2 linked regions of the Drosophila melanogaster genome follow. The protein of the gene in region 2 interacts with the protein of the main gene of each other region in a biochemical or structural test. Each region holds a gene or a part of one and is shown on either strand. Other genes may lie near its edges.

The links. The genes of interacting proteins can lie anywhere in the genome.
Region 1: the proteins of MBD-R2 (region 2) and nsl1 form a complex in vitro, tested with the Drosophila melanogaster proteins (one study listed by BioGRID).

Annotation. Positions count from the first base shown.
Region 1 is NT_033777.3:15,791,961-15,799,798, reverse strand, and holds the start of nsl1 (non-specific lethal 1), read right to left. Parts: upstream 6,018-7,838; 5' UTR 5,746-6,017; exon of another isoform or gene 5,599-5,745; intron 4,971-5,598; 5' UTR 4,893-4,970; coding exon 4,220-4,892; intron 4,154-4,219; coding exon 2,908-4,153; intron 2,502-2,907; coding exon 2,005-2,501; intron 1,713-2,004; coding exon 1,332-1,712; coding exon of another isoform or gene 1,318-1,331; exon of another isoform or gene 1,079-1,317; coding exon 763-1,078; intron 654-762; coding exon 537-653; intron 424-536; coding exon 1-423. Other genes in the region: Acyp2 (acylphosphatase 2), read right to left, coding at 6,475-6,589, 6,648-6,757, 6,826-6,842, 6,898-6,964; c(3)G (crossover suppressor on 3 of gowen), read left to right, coding at 7,357-7,838.
Region 2 is NT_033777.3:12,351,607-12,357,876, reverse strand, and holds MBD-R2 (MBD-R2), read left to right. Parts: upstream 1-1,611; 5' UTR 1,612-1,733; coding exon 1,734-2,958; intron 2,959-3,031; coding exon 3,032-3,682; intron 3,683-3,746; coding exon 3,747-3,879; intron 3,880-3,932; coding exon 3,933-5,263; intron 5,264-5,332; coding exon 5,333-5,502; 3' UTR 5,503-5,734; downstream 5,735-6,270. Other genes in the region: CG10041 (uncharacterized protein), read left to right, coding at 5,814-6,270. UniProt on the Drosophila melanogaster protein: Component of the non-specific lethal (NLS) complex, a multiprotein complex that promotes expression of housekeeping genes on X chromosome and autosomes.

The sequences.
Region 1 (7,838 bases), 3.4 Mb from region 2:
GGCTGAGCAATTTTGTCTTGCGTTTCGGCAGTTTTGTCAATCGGATTCTTTATCAAGTTTCCGTTGAGCTTGGGTTTGACCACCTTTTCCTTTGGATCGTCGTCTTCTTTTGATTGCGTATCGTGATCCTCTGCAGCCTTAAGTTCATCCTTTTTGGCGTTACCATTTACCAGTCCATTTTTATTATTATTATTGTTTGTATTATTATTGTTATTGTGCTTGACTGCTTGATTTTCCTTTAAACCATTAACCTTCGGAGGCTGCAGGGCCGGCTGCTCTTGATCTTGATCTGGTGGTGGTGGTAGCTGTTGTTTGGCTAGCTCCTCTGACTTTGATGCGACACAGCCATTGCTCAGTTTGCGCTCCATTGACTCATCTGACGAATGTTTTCCCTTATCGTTATCACTGTCTACAATGCGCCACCTGAAAGCAAAGATGGAATGGGTGATTTTAATAGATATACACAAATCTTGGTATTTTACATTATGCGACATATATATATAAAATAAGGACTTAGCGCAAAATTGAATACTTACTTGGGTATGGGTATTTCCTTGTAGGGAATTATCTCCATTTTCGACTGGGCTAGCATACTGTAGGGTATAACGATGTTATTGATGTCGTAGATGGGACGAACGCGACGCTCAGAGGTTCTGCAAGGGAAACATACATATAAATTATATATAACAATCTATCTTATAAAAAAAAAGCAGGACTACTTATCGCGAATCCCTGGGATCAGTTATTGAATCCGAAACATACCTCTCATTTTTATGACTGTTGGAGGGCGAAGAGTTGCGACGACTCCTGCTTTGCTCCCCCCACTGATCGCCGTAGCCATTGAGATGATGATTGTTGATTTTGGTGCCGTGGTGATTCTGCTGCTGCTGTGTGGAATTGCTGCTGCTGCTGTTGGTTGCGGATTTGCGTGCCTTCTTAGCGCCGCTCAGTGCCGAGATCGAGGTTGAGGAGGGACTGTGGTGGCGTTGTCGTTGGCGTTGGCGAGAGTCTGGCCACAGCGAGCTGGAACTGTTCGCTCCAGTTGGGTGTTGTGGTTGCCGCTTGCCCCTGGCCGCTGCTGATGTTGCGTCAAGTCCGTGATTTGGATGCGGAACGGGGACGAAACGGAGACAAGAACGGAATGGCAAAATAAAACAATTGGTGGGGTTTTTCGTTGTTGTTGTTGGTGGTGGTGTTTGTTGATGGTGTTGGTGGAATTTCGTGTTTTGGTTGATCGATGCAAAGAAAAAGAAGAAGAAGAGATGCAAAAGATTGTTGTTGTTTTATGTTAATAACAATTATCGAATTTCGTCATGTTTACAATAATTTACTGTTGGCCACAAGTGGCGTTGTAGTAGGCGTAGTAGAAGAAGAAGTAGTAGCAGTACCAGTACCGTTTCCGCTATCCCCTCCCCCGACGCTACTGCTTCCGTTTCCGCCTGCTCCTCCTGCGGCGACAGCAGCAGCTTTAGCTCCGCTCCCAGCCTCCTTATTTGAGTTGTTGTTGCGCTCCTTGCGTCGTATATAACGCCGCTTCGCCGCATCGCCCGACCGCCGGCTGCCACCTTGTCCGCCGACACCGCCTGAGGCTATCGTCTCGCGCTCCGCCTTCCACATGGCCTTGACAATGGCCTTGGGCTGGCTGCGCATGACGCGGTACTGCCAGTCCGGCTGGCGGGCAACGGCCTCCAAGTGAACCGACTGACTGACATCTGGGAAACAAGAATGATAGGGATAAGAATATATTCAAACATAATTCCACTTTAGCTGTCATCATCCGACTATTTCTTTTCATTTTGGAATCCAATGTAAAGAATACGAGGATTTTAATGTTTTAGTTTCGAATAAAAATTATTTGCAAGTATTGCATTTTAAAGTTTTACTTTTTAATCAATTCAGTTCAAATCTCAAGTGTAGAATAAATAATGTTAAACCATCACAGATGATAAGAAATAATCATGGACGAAAACCAAATGGGTCCACTCAGTGTAACCTCCCACTCACCGCTGGCGAAGCTGAGCACTGGATGGTAGCCAGCATCGAGCAATGCCACCCGGTTTTGCGGCATCATCGTCTCGACCAGATCCCTGGGCGCCGTAGGGTCTGTCCGACCCGTGCACAGTGTGCATGGCACCTGCGGCCACTGGCAGCCACACTTAATGTTGCTGGGGCGTGCGGCTTTCTTGGAAATCGTGTGCATGTTCGTGGTCTGGAAGAGCTTGCGTTTGCGGAACTCGGACAGCACCAATGGACGTGCCCGACTGCAGAGGTAGTCGGATCCGGGCTCCTCCTTAATGCCATTTGCCGGCTGTGCTAGCGACGGTGAGGTCTTAGCTGTGGACTCCAGCTGGATCTCGCCCTTGGACTGAGTTAGATCCATGTAAAGGTCGCTGTGCTGACGGATCTTCATCTCCAAATCGGTCAGCTGGGAGCAGAGCCAGGACCAGCGCAGGGCAATGGCTGCACGATCTCTCGAATATCGCCAGACAGCGCGTCGAGTGCTGCAAAGAATCAAATTTCAAGAGCATTAGGAAAGAGAATACCACAAAAAAAAAGCTAAAAGAAATATATAATCGCTAATTAACAATTTTAATAAAAACTGTTGAAATAGTTGAAATATCGCATTGTAAATGCGATAATTAGGTACAACAACTCTAATCAAAGCCTATTACAACTTTTCAATTGCTAAGGACGACGTTAAATCATGTTTAAAATGCCTGTCAAAGCAAAACAATTTTGAAAGAAAACTACCGAGCCAACATTAATCGGACAAATTCTATAGCAAAAGAATGATCTTAAAAAGATGACAGAAGCTGAAAACCCCCCTCAAAAAAAGATGGAAGAAAGTTTACTTGTAAAATATTCCCGATAACCTAAGTATGTACATAAATAATACGAAGTACTCACATTGGTAGCGAGAGCTGCTGGTTGTTGTTGTAGGTTACCATCTCGTCAGCGGATTCTCCACCAGAACTTGACTCCGTGGCGTCCGAGTCGATGGCATTCTGTACTTCTCGAAGCTCCGTGTGCAGCAGGCCAGACACATGGGTGAGTTCATTAGTCACATAGGTGTCGTAGCCGGGCACGATATCATCCGCCCGCGGTGTATTCGAACCCGTTGCGGATCCCGTCGTGCCAGCTGCCTGTCTAGATGTTACCGCTCCTGGCGCAGGTGCAGTGGGTGTGGCACCCGTTGCAACCGAAGCATCAAGTTGATTCTTTCGTGGACGCTTCATCGGCAGCGCAGAGCTGTTGCAGCTGTTGTACCAGCTGGAGGATGGCGCCAGAGTAGCAGAGCTTCCGCTGGCTGAGTGGCAGATTTGCTGATGCTTTGCCGCCGTCGCAATATGCCGGATCACATTACTCATCTGGCTAGCAGGCAGCGGATGCTTGTTCTGCTCCTCCCAGAAGGTTGAGCTCGGACGCCCTGAGACAATCGATAGGACAGTGGCCTCCTGCTCAGTCAGCGTGGAACTTCTCGCTGGAACTGGAGCCTTATGGGAACTGCGGGCAGACCACTCCATGATACCAACCACCTCCTCGCTCGCGTGACGGCACATCGCTCGCGCCTGGAGCTTGCGCATCCTGCGTAGCAAAAACTCGATCCTGCGCGAGATAACGTGCTGCTGCTGCTCCAACTCAGCATGACTCTCCTGCCAGGGCCGCTGCTCCTGCTTAATAATCACATTCGGCTGGGAAATGTTGCTGCCGCTAACGAGGATGCCACTGCAGCTGGGCTTCGCGCCCGGCACATCCACCACATTTTCGGGTGGCGCGGGCGGCAATGGCGCTGCCGGTGCTGCCTCTTCCCAAACTTCGTCGAAAAACTCGCAAATGGTATCTGGATTAACATGGCCACCGTCAAATGTTTTGAGCGCTTTAAGCACCTCCTCGATATCCTGATCCTCTAGAACAGCACCAGCTGCTCCGTCTTTGAGAAAATTGTTGGAACTGGTGGTGCTTTGCGGCGTCATCTGTTGAATGGACTGCTGCTGTGTTCGCGCCGGCTGCGGAGACTCAAGATGGGCACTTGGTGGCGCCTGTGGCCTGGTGGGCGTGTTTGGCGCCTCCTGCACGGGTACCGGAACAGAAGGTGGTGCCACATGCTCCTCGGGCCTTCCAGTGGCATTCCCATCTAGCTGGCTGAGACGCTCTGAAACAGTGGGCGAGAGAAATTTTGAGTCAAGACTATTTATTTGGAGTGATTCCTTAGACCCACCTTCTATATTATCTATTTCTATCTTGGTCACCTCATCCACTGCAGATAAGGATAGAGCGCTGCCAGCACTCGTTGAACTTGTGGCCACTGCCAGCACCGAGGCAGGCGGAACCGGCTCTTTCCCCAGACTCACATCGGGTAGGGTTTTCCTCAGGCAAATCTCCGCGGATATGGTCTCCTCAAAGTTGATGGTTAGATCCGCCAGTAGCTGAGCGGTGGAGTTGTCCTTGGGCGTGGAGCTGTTGTCGGCGGAGGTGCTGTTGCCGGCGGAGGTACTGTTGCTGTCGTTATTGTTGTGCTCCACGGCAGAGGTGGAGGCTGCCGCAGTATCCGTCGAGGGATTTGGTGAAGTGGTGCTGTGTGGAGTCGGGGCTGTGCTCAGCCCCATTGGTTCATTGCTGGCTTTAGCGTTGCCCGACTTTCGCTTGTTATTGATTGCTAGCGAGGATCGCTGCTGTTGTAGATGCGGGGAAGCGGTAACTGAGGCCGCTGCCGCTGATGAGCGGGTAATCCGCGTGGTGGCCGTGGCCGGCGTGGGTGTTGCCGGCTTCTTGACCAAGCCAACTGCACATCCAACTCCTCCGCTTTCCGAGGAGCTGCGGGCCGAGGGCGAGGCGGTGCTGGTTAGCTTCTCCTTTGGACTTAGTGGCTCGGCTGTGAGCGCTGGGGCCATCGTTCTGATGCTAATACGTTGGCCGGCTGCTGCGGCATTTGGTTCGTTCGACTCCTAAGGCGTCTCTTTATGCTAATCCTGTCGAGAATTTTCCAAAAACGGGCTATTATTTTTCGGCAATTCAGCGTTAGGACGACAAAATAAAGGCATACTATTCGGTCCGAGACTACTGCGTTATCATATAAAAGAACAATATTGGTGTATTTATTTTTTATCTCGTTTAAACCGCCCGCCTCCGTAAGATTTCAAAATTTGGAATGGTTTTTTTTTTTTGTCTTTTCCGGCGTGTTATGTACATATGCTACATATGCGTACACAACACACACACAGCGTCGCTTTGGCCAACAAGAGAACCCATGAGAGCGAGAGAGAGGTCAGAAAGCGCGCTATTGCACACCATGATGCGCAATAAAAAAAACTGTATAGAACACACACACACAAACATATGCAGGGACTGACAGACTACTTTACATACTGACGAAATCATTGCGGTTACTTTCGAAAATTACAATTTTCCAAGATTGGGCATCTTCTGCCGGCGGGAAACTGCCGATCATGCCACCATGTTTTTATGTAATTCCGTTTATTGAGTTTTTCCACTACAATTAGCCTAGGCAAACGGAAACTCGCGCCTTTACACACACACACGCACATGCTAGCACACACACACGTGCAACTGTATGCGCCACTATATTCAGTTATTTACACAATCTCATTTATTGTATTCCACATGTCTCGATCAATTCTGCAGTAAAAATCAGTTATATGTGCTTTGTGTCCTATCTATATTCGCCCAGATTCCAGCGAAAGGGCAGTGGAAAAAGGTTTTCAGCGCGAAAGTAATCGTACTCACTAACACATGCAAGCAAGAACACACCGACAGCAGGCAGGCAGCACGCAAGAATTTGTAAATTGCTTAAAAATTAAGTAGTATTTTTTTTCATTATACGCACAATTCGGCCGTTCCGAAAAATTGCCCGTAGCACAATTGGCAAATATTTTTTGCAAACACAATGGCGTGACTCGCACTGTAGGAATTACGGTTTTCGCTTCACGGACTTTTTTCCTCATTTATTTTTTTCATCGCTTAGACTGCTCTGCTACGCTTTTGGCAAAACGACGTGTATCGAAGCTGTACTCGTTTCTGTGCCAGACCAAAGTGCGCTGTCGCCCAGCTGGTTGTCTCGCTCTTGCACGTGCGCCGCCTATGGCGGTGGCGCGGCCCACTGTTGTGTGTGCGAGCGAGATGACCAGTGTCTATGGCAGGGAGCTGCAAACTATCGGCTGTGATAGCAATATATCGAGTAGATACTGGAGTGGTGCGCACTTTCGACTAGCGACTATCGATTCTCGGAATAATTTTCCGCCTTGTTTTAAATAATTTATTATTTATTTATTGTTGTACTTCAGTACTGGGTTCAGTTTTGCGAAACGTAATATTTCTTATGTTCATACTATCGAATGTTATCGACTCAGTCGATAGCAATGCAGATATGCCTGCTTACGCAAGTTGCAGCCCTGGTAATTTATTTAGACTTTGTTTCGGAATTGGATGGACAACGAAAGAGCTAATAATTCGTTTTTAATGTTTTATGTCAAAGGAAGTGAACGTATAGTCCTCGATTTCCTGGATTTGCGAAAATTCAGCCTTTGAGACCTTAGCGTTGGGAATTCGGTTGTTCTCCAGCCAATGTTTCCTTCAAATTAGTGGGCGATGGTTAAATGATTGAATTAGTGGAGTGCAGCGGTACCTACATTTCCATTAAATTCATCATAGGAGCCTCCAGTTGTCCCTTGACGGTCCCATCCCGGGTATTCATGCACCAGCCCCTAACTCCCAATCTTTTAGCCTCATGCGACGTGTGCTAAGCCAAAAATGTACATAAGTTAAATGTTGATTTCCAGATATATATATAGGCCTCCCAGTACTTACTTTGCGGAAGAACACACCTGCAAAATTTAATACGCTGTTTAACAAGCCGAATCAGAAAAATGCATTGCATACCTTGCACTCGTCCAAAGATCTCGAAATCGAGGGCAAATATCTGCTTGGCAACTCCAGATCCCGCCATTATGTAGTCGTGATCAGATTTCTGATGCCACTTAGATTCCTTGCAGCACTCAAATTTCTAAATAGAGCTAGCAAAAACTGAATGTTGACAACCAAAATAGAATTATTATTAAATTGTAACATAGTTATCGTAGCCAGGGCGACAACGCAAAACCAGGGGCGTTCAGTAGAAAATACCGTGAGGTCAGTATTTAGACAGTACACACACCTCTTGTGAACAACAATATACTGTAGGTCATCAAGCTCATCTCTAGCTAATGTTTACCGTTGCTTTTCAACGCAGGACGCACTTGGTAAAAGTTTAGGTAAACTAAACAAAACGTTTGTAATGTACAATATATATTTATTTCTTTTATAAATTAGTTGCGCTAATACAACTGCTTAGCTGGCAAAATGACGGGCGCCAAGAAAAGATCGGGAGCACCGTTAGTGGATGCAGCTCACTCGAAAGCCCCAAAACCAGGTACAGTTGCCCAAGAAAAAAACAGCCAAATTCCAACTGTTTGGAAAAAGGATCATGTAAAAACTCAACTTTTCGAAAGATCAAACGAAAAGCCATCCAAAAAAAGAACTCCGCTAGTGGCTCCTAGAGTTCAGCAATCAAAAATTGAAGCGCAAACTTCTCAGGCTGTGGAAAAAACACAGGAAGACCAAACTTTTGCAGCCACCATAGACAGTTCAACAAAAAGTCTAAAAAAGTCTCCCAAAAACGAGGGAGAATTATGGGCAGATATTCAGAAGCTGTCGCCCCACACGGGAATAATAATTCATAGCTTCATAAAGCAGTACAACGAATCGCTAAATAATCTCAAGAAGAAAGACTTGGTGGTCAGCAAGAAAATGAGAGCCATCGCCATGGACTCGCTGAAGAAAAA
Region 2 (6,270 bases):
TGGGCTATGCGGCTGGGACCGATGAGATGAGGCTGGGGAATGGGCCTGGCCAATTTGTCGATGAGTTGGGTAAATATTAAAGGAGAAAGTGCCGCCGTCAGTTGGACCAAAAGTTTTGTACTCTCCTTGTACATATTTCTGTTTTCGGTTTTCTGTTTTTGAAAAATATTTTTGCACAGGTTACATATTGTTGAATTATTTGCACAAAAAGAGAGTGAGGTCAGGTGCAGTCGTCCCAATTTCATCGAGTGTCGATAATTTATGCAAATATGTTCACTAATAGTTATGCAAACGGAAATCTAACCGTGTTTACCACCCATTTTGGATTTCCCTTCGAGTGGCCCCCTCAATGTCAGTTTTTGACTGACCAAAATTTATAAAATGCTAAATTATTCGGCTTAGCAACGTCAATTACTCACGTTATTTAATATTTATGTCAGCTGCATATGACAATAAAAGCATTTTATAATTAAAGTTTGCTTTATGCTCCAGCCGTGATTTGATTACAAATATTGGCAATCCACTGAATCAAAGTCAACACCATTTGATATTGGCTCCGTGTCAATTTCGCAAACACGCCCAAGATCTAAAAGTCAACCGATTGACCCAGAGACCTCGTTTTCAGGGAAGTACCCAAAAACAGGAAGCTCTTCGACCGTGAGTTTCCGGCTATCATTCTAAAACAATATTTGTAATGGAACTAAACTGTTTAGTTACGGAATTCGAGGGGTCAAGCCACATATATACATAAGATATTGACACAATATAGAGAATCTTAATATTTTATTCTTTCAAAATGTGCCATCACATTTTCCTCACATATTTCGATTTGAAGGCCAAAGCTCCATACTTCAATCGATTTTTTTGGCGGCTCAATCAACCGATCAAGCAGCAGGCGCCACATTTAAATTTGTCAGTTGTTTCTTGCATGCTAATGACCGGGTGAAATATTGTAATTAAAAACTACAATGAGTGTTTATTTTAGCAGTATGCGTAAATAGCTGCTCCTCAAACTTTGAAACCCAGTGTTGAAATACATATTTCCAGAAGCATTTGTCGAATGGATAATATCGTATTTGGTTAGCTTTTTGCAAGGTGTCTGCCTTTTGGCGAACGTGGTGACATGTAAGCCCAAAAGCGTACATTAATTGCATTTCAAATAGGCTTTCGGTGGCCTTGGGAACGGTGGCGTATCGGCACGTGATCCTTTTTCCGCCGAGCTGAGGAAATTTATGGCACCCTCACTTCGCTAAAATGCATTAACGCACCGATTAATATTAATTGTGCAGCGGGTATTTACCAACTTTAATAGTTAATTTATGGCAGGAAGATTGATGTAAAGTTTCATGAAAATTGAGATAGTCAGAAATAAAAAGTAATTAAATTCAACCTACTCAGGCTCTAAAGTAATATTTATTTATTTATCGAAAGTAGTATTTATTTATCACCACAATAAAGATCTATGCAATAAAGTCATTTAAAATTTATTTTTTATAAAATTCAAAAAATATCGTTAAATAGTTTTGAACTTTTCCAACAAGGTGGCAATATCTAACTATCGATAGTTTGCCGACGCACACGTTTTTACTGTACCCCAATTTGGTATCACTAATTTATTGCGCTGTATTTTTCTGGATAATTTTCGCGTCGTTTCCTGGATTATTTCATCACTTAGCAAAGTGTGCGTTTGCACATAGGCAAACAAAATAGAGAATTGGGTGAACTTCATCGCCATGGGCCGCCGGTGCTGCGTGGCCAACTGCCCGTCGACGTCGCGTCTGTTGGAGCACAACGGCGTGACTTACCACTCCTTCCCCCTAGATCCCATCATCCGCGCCATATGGATCAAAAACTCTCGCATCAGCCTGGAGCGCCAGATCACCAAGAGCGTGCTGGTCTGCTCACGCCACTTCCGCCGTTTGGACTTCAACACTATCCGCAATGGGAAGTATCTGCTCAAGCCGCGCGTCTTTCCCACCGTTTTTCCATGGGGCAAGATGGATACCGCGGAGATCGAAGCAGACCAACGGGCACTTCAGCACGCCAGCGTGGAGGGAACGACTGAAACCCCGGGAAATGCTCAGTCATCGACCAATGACGATGTGATCAAAGCTACGGTAGACCAAATAGTTGCGCAAATCCTGTCGGAATCTGCAGAACGCAAGGCCACGGAGGAAGGTAAAACAGGCAAGGCGGCGGATGACGTTAAAAATACTCCCGAAAGTGGAGAAGATGCAAACAAGGCAGCTGCAAAGGAACCCTCAGGGACTCCGGTAGCCGCAAGCAGCGAAGCCACAGTCCCAGCTCCTGGATCCGCTTCCAGTTCGAACTCACCTTTGCCCGGCACACCGCCCAAGTACAGCAACCCACATAACCTGACTATTGGCGCCCGTTTGGAGGCGCTCAGTGTGGAAGGCAACTGGTTGCCCGCCCGCATCGTGGAAGTTAACGAGACGGAGCAGACGCTACTCGTGCGCTTTGAGCGCAATCACAAGCTAAAGGTGTCACCTTCGACCAGCGGCAGCTTTCAGGAGTGGATGGCCATCAAGTCGGAGCGGCTGAGGCAGCGCCTCAGCAACCGTGTGCTGCCCGTCTTTGAGCTGGACGAGAAGTGCATGGCCCGCTGGTCGGGGCCGCGTAAGTTTCCAGGAACCATACGCAAGTTGCTGGGCAACGATACCTACGAGGTTCTCTTCGACGATGGTTACGTTAAGAACGTGCGCGCCGTGCACATGAACAAGATGCCCAAGCAGTTGCCCCCTGTTCAGGTAGCGGAAGAGGGTGCCTCAAAGTCACCCACTCCTGTTGGAACTCCAGTAAGCTCTGCACCTGTGGCTCCGAAGCGGGCGAGCACAGGCAGCCTTGGCGGATCCAGTGGCTCTTCGGGCAGCAAGAAGAGCAAATGTGCACCTCAGCGCAGGGATTGGCCGTTGCTGGACATGGCCAGTTTGGATATAGGTAAGAGCACCGAAAGGAGAATGTTAGTTTTGCCTTAAACTTAACTTTCATGTTTGACTTTCGTAACCAACAGCATCCCTTGGACTCCCAGAAATACCGCATGACGGCGAGTGGACTTGTCATTGGGTAAATGACCAGCCTATTGGAACCGAGGGTTTTCTGATTGTGGGCGAGCACCAGAAACCCACTGTTATCGTGCAGGATTGGCGTCTGCCTCCTGGCTGGATCAAGCACATGTACCAGCGGTCCAACGTCCTCGGCAAGTGGGATGTTATTCTGGTCTCGCCCAGCGGCAAACGTTTCCGCTCCAAGTCCGACTTGAAGTTGTTCCTTGAGTCCCAGAATCTGGTCTACAACCCGGATGTGTACGACTTTAGCATCCATCGACGTCGTGCCAAAGACATCAATGCTTACGTCTACACACACGGCTACAATCCGCAGCCACCGCCCAAGCCCAGGCCCATGGATGTGTCGATGAACTCCACGCTGGACCAGAGCATCACGTCGCAACATTCTTTACCTTCTACTCCGATGCCGGTGAAAGAAAGCCAGTACATGGAAGCACCGGTGGCCTCGCTTATGCCACCAGCTGAGTTAATGTCGCCGCAGACGCAGCCTGCCGATGAGACAAAGCCCAAGATAGAAGCAGAAATACTGGAAGCCAGTGAGGGAGGTACCTCTCAGCTTATGTTAGCAGATCCTCATGTGGTGGAAAATGGCTTTGGTAAGTATATGCAATTTGAAATAACATGTGCTATATTAAAATAAATTATAATTCCATATTTCAGCTTTCATTGGGGGCCTAAAAGTCAAAATCCAAGACAATCTTTATGTATGCCCGCGCGAAGATTGCGCCAAGACCTATCGCAAAGAAGACTTTCTGCTAATCCACATTCGCCATTATCACAAGGAGTTTGCAGAGTGAGTAATATTCATTCAAAACTCATGACACCTAACTTACTTTAAATCTACAGACACGTCAGCCACTGTCCAAAGATGCAGGAACTAGCGGTCAAACGTACGCACCCCTCATCCATCGATCAAGTTGAGGCGGTGCCAAAAAACCAAATACCCAACCAGCAATTCTTTGCCAAAATGCACCAGCAGGATTTGCAGCAGTCACGATCGTTTAAACGACAGAGTGTATCAGCTACGGCCACATCTTCAACGCCATCTGACATAACGCCTACTAAGGCCCTGTTATCTCCTAAGATGGAGCCACCAAGTGTGTCGCCAACTGTTGAAAGTGGCATTAAACAAGAAGATGTTTCTCTGGATGCTGGTCCAACTCAGTCGTTTAATCCTTCATTGAGTCGTTCCTGCAAGCGTGCACGCTTGTCGCCGTCGAAGCGGCCATCTGGCTCGCGAAAGAGTAACCGCCAGCGCTCTCAGCGTCGTCCCATTTTGTCAGATAACCCGGCTGGTCATGGCTTAACCGAACAAGATGTTGAGGAGACACGGCAATCTTTTAACACCCCCACTCCGGATACGCGCATCGACTCGAAAAAACGCCGCAGTGGTGCGGCAACAACTCCCATCAGTTCCATTGACTCACCAGCCATGGGAGATTCGGTGTCCACGCCATCATCTAATGACCAGACCGACATAAATGCAGCCCTTGCCCCACCACCAGCTGAAACGTTAAGCAAAGCACCACAGTACATCAAGGAAAATGGTGAACTAATTCGAATTGTGCGCATGCGGCAGGAGGAGATCATTAACTGCATCTGCGAGTATGGCGAAGAGGACGGCCTAATGATCCAATGTGAATTGTGCCTATGCTGGCAACACGGTGCATGCAACGGAATTGTCAAAGAGGCAGATGTACCGGACAAGTATGTGTGCTACATTTGTCGCAATCCGCAGAGGGGTCGGGATTCTATGAGATTTAAGCACGACCAGGACTGGCTATTCGAAGGCAAGTTGCCGGTGGCCGCGTATCACACTGCAAATCCACAGGCCACCAAACAATTCGAGCTCTTGAAGCGCTCGCACACGCTGACCGGCAATTTGCTAGATGCCAAGCGATCGATGCACTCGCTGCTGGTGAAGATTAACATCGCACGCAACCGCTGTCATCCGAAGCTTTATCTATGGGCCAAAAAGTGGGACGAAGACAATCTGGACTCTACTGCGTTGACACCGGTTAAGCGTGCAAAATTGGAGGCCCCCGACCTTCCGAACGTTCCGCAACCGGAAGCTGCCATCGATCCGGAGGAGTGCCAGTACCGTTTGATCGAGCATATCAAGGTGCAGCAATCCTTGGTTCTCGATCGGCTGAATGACATAGAAGCCGAAATGGACGGTTAGTATCCAAAACTAATTTTTGTCACGAGTATATATGAATCTATATATATTTTTGAATTTCTTTTAGAACTTGAAAAGGAGGACACGTTGGATGACTTAAAGGACGCTGACATCTCGACCACAAAAGAGGCGCTGGCCACGTTTATTAAGGAGCTCGAAACCATGAAGCGCCTTGCCAAGCTCAACCAGGTGGCCAATATGAAGCAGACCCTCAGAGATTCTGCCACTAGCAAGTAGCATTTCTATTGATCACGGTTATAGGGGTCTAATGAGGATTTTCTTTTAAGCTATTTTCGAACTGTTTCCATAATTTTGCAGACGTGTAGATAGTAACCGTACAAGCTTTTTCTCTTCAAAAAAAATATTGCTATACTTTATAAAGTTTGATAATATAATGGAATTTAAATGTATATTCTTTTAAAGTTAACCATGTGAGAATACAGAAAATTATAATTTCATGCCCAATTATAAAGTTAAGATGCTTGATGATAAAACCTGACTACAAGACGTCTTTGTGACGTCTTTGTATTCGTGACTTGGTCGCAGTTATGTGTTGTTGGCAATCTCTTTGCTCCATAGCTTGGTTCGCCGCGATGTCGGCAGCCCAGGAGACGCTTTCCGACACCCCGCAGAATAGCACACCTTTGTTAGCCACAACTGTGTCGACCACGAAGGTGATAAGTTTCCGCCCTCGTTATCCATACATCGTCTCCATAGGAGAGAACCTTAAAGGATACTACAAGCACCTTTGCGTGGGCGTTATACTTTCGAATGAGTTCGTGCTCAGTGCAGCCCACTGCATCCAAACGAATCCAACCAAACAACTGTACGTGGCTGGTGGCGCCGATTCGCTGAACAGCCGGAAGCAGACCCGCTTCTTCGTCGTGGAAAGAAGATGGCATCCCCAGTTTAGGGTGCTCGGCGGCAACGACATTGCCGTGTTGAGGATTTACCCCAAATTCCCGCTCGACGATGTGCGATTTCGTAGCATTAACTTTGCTGGAA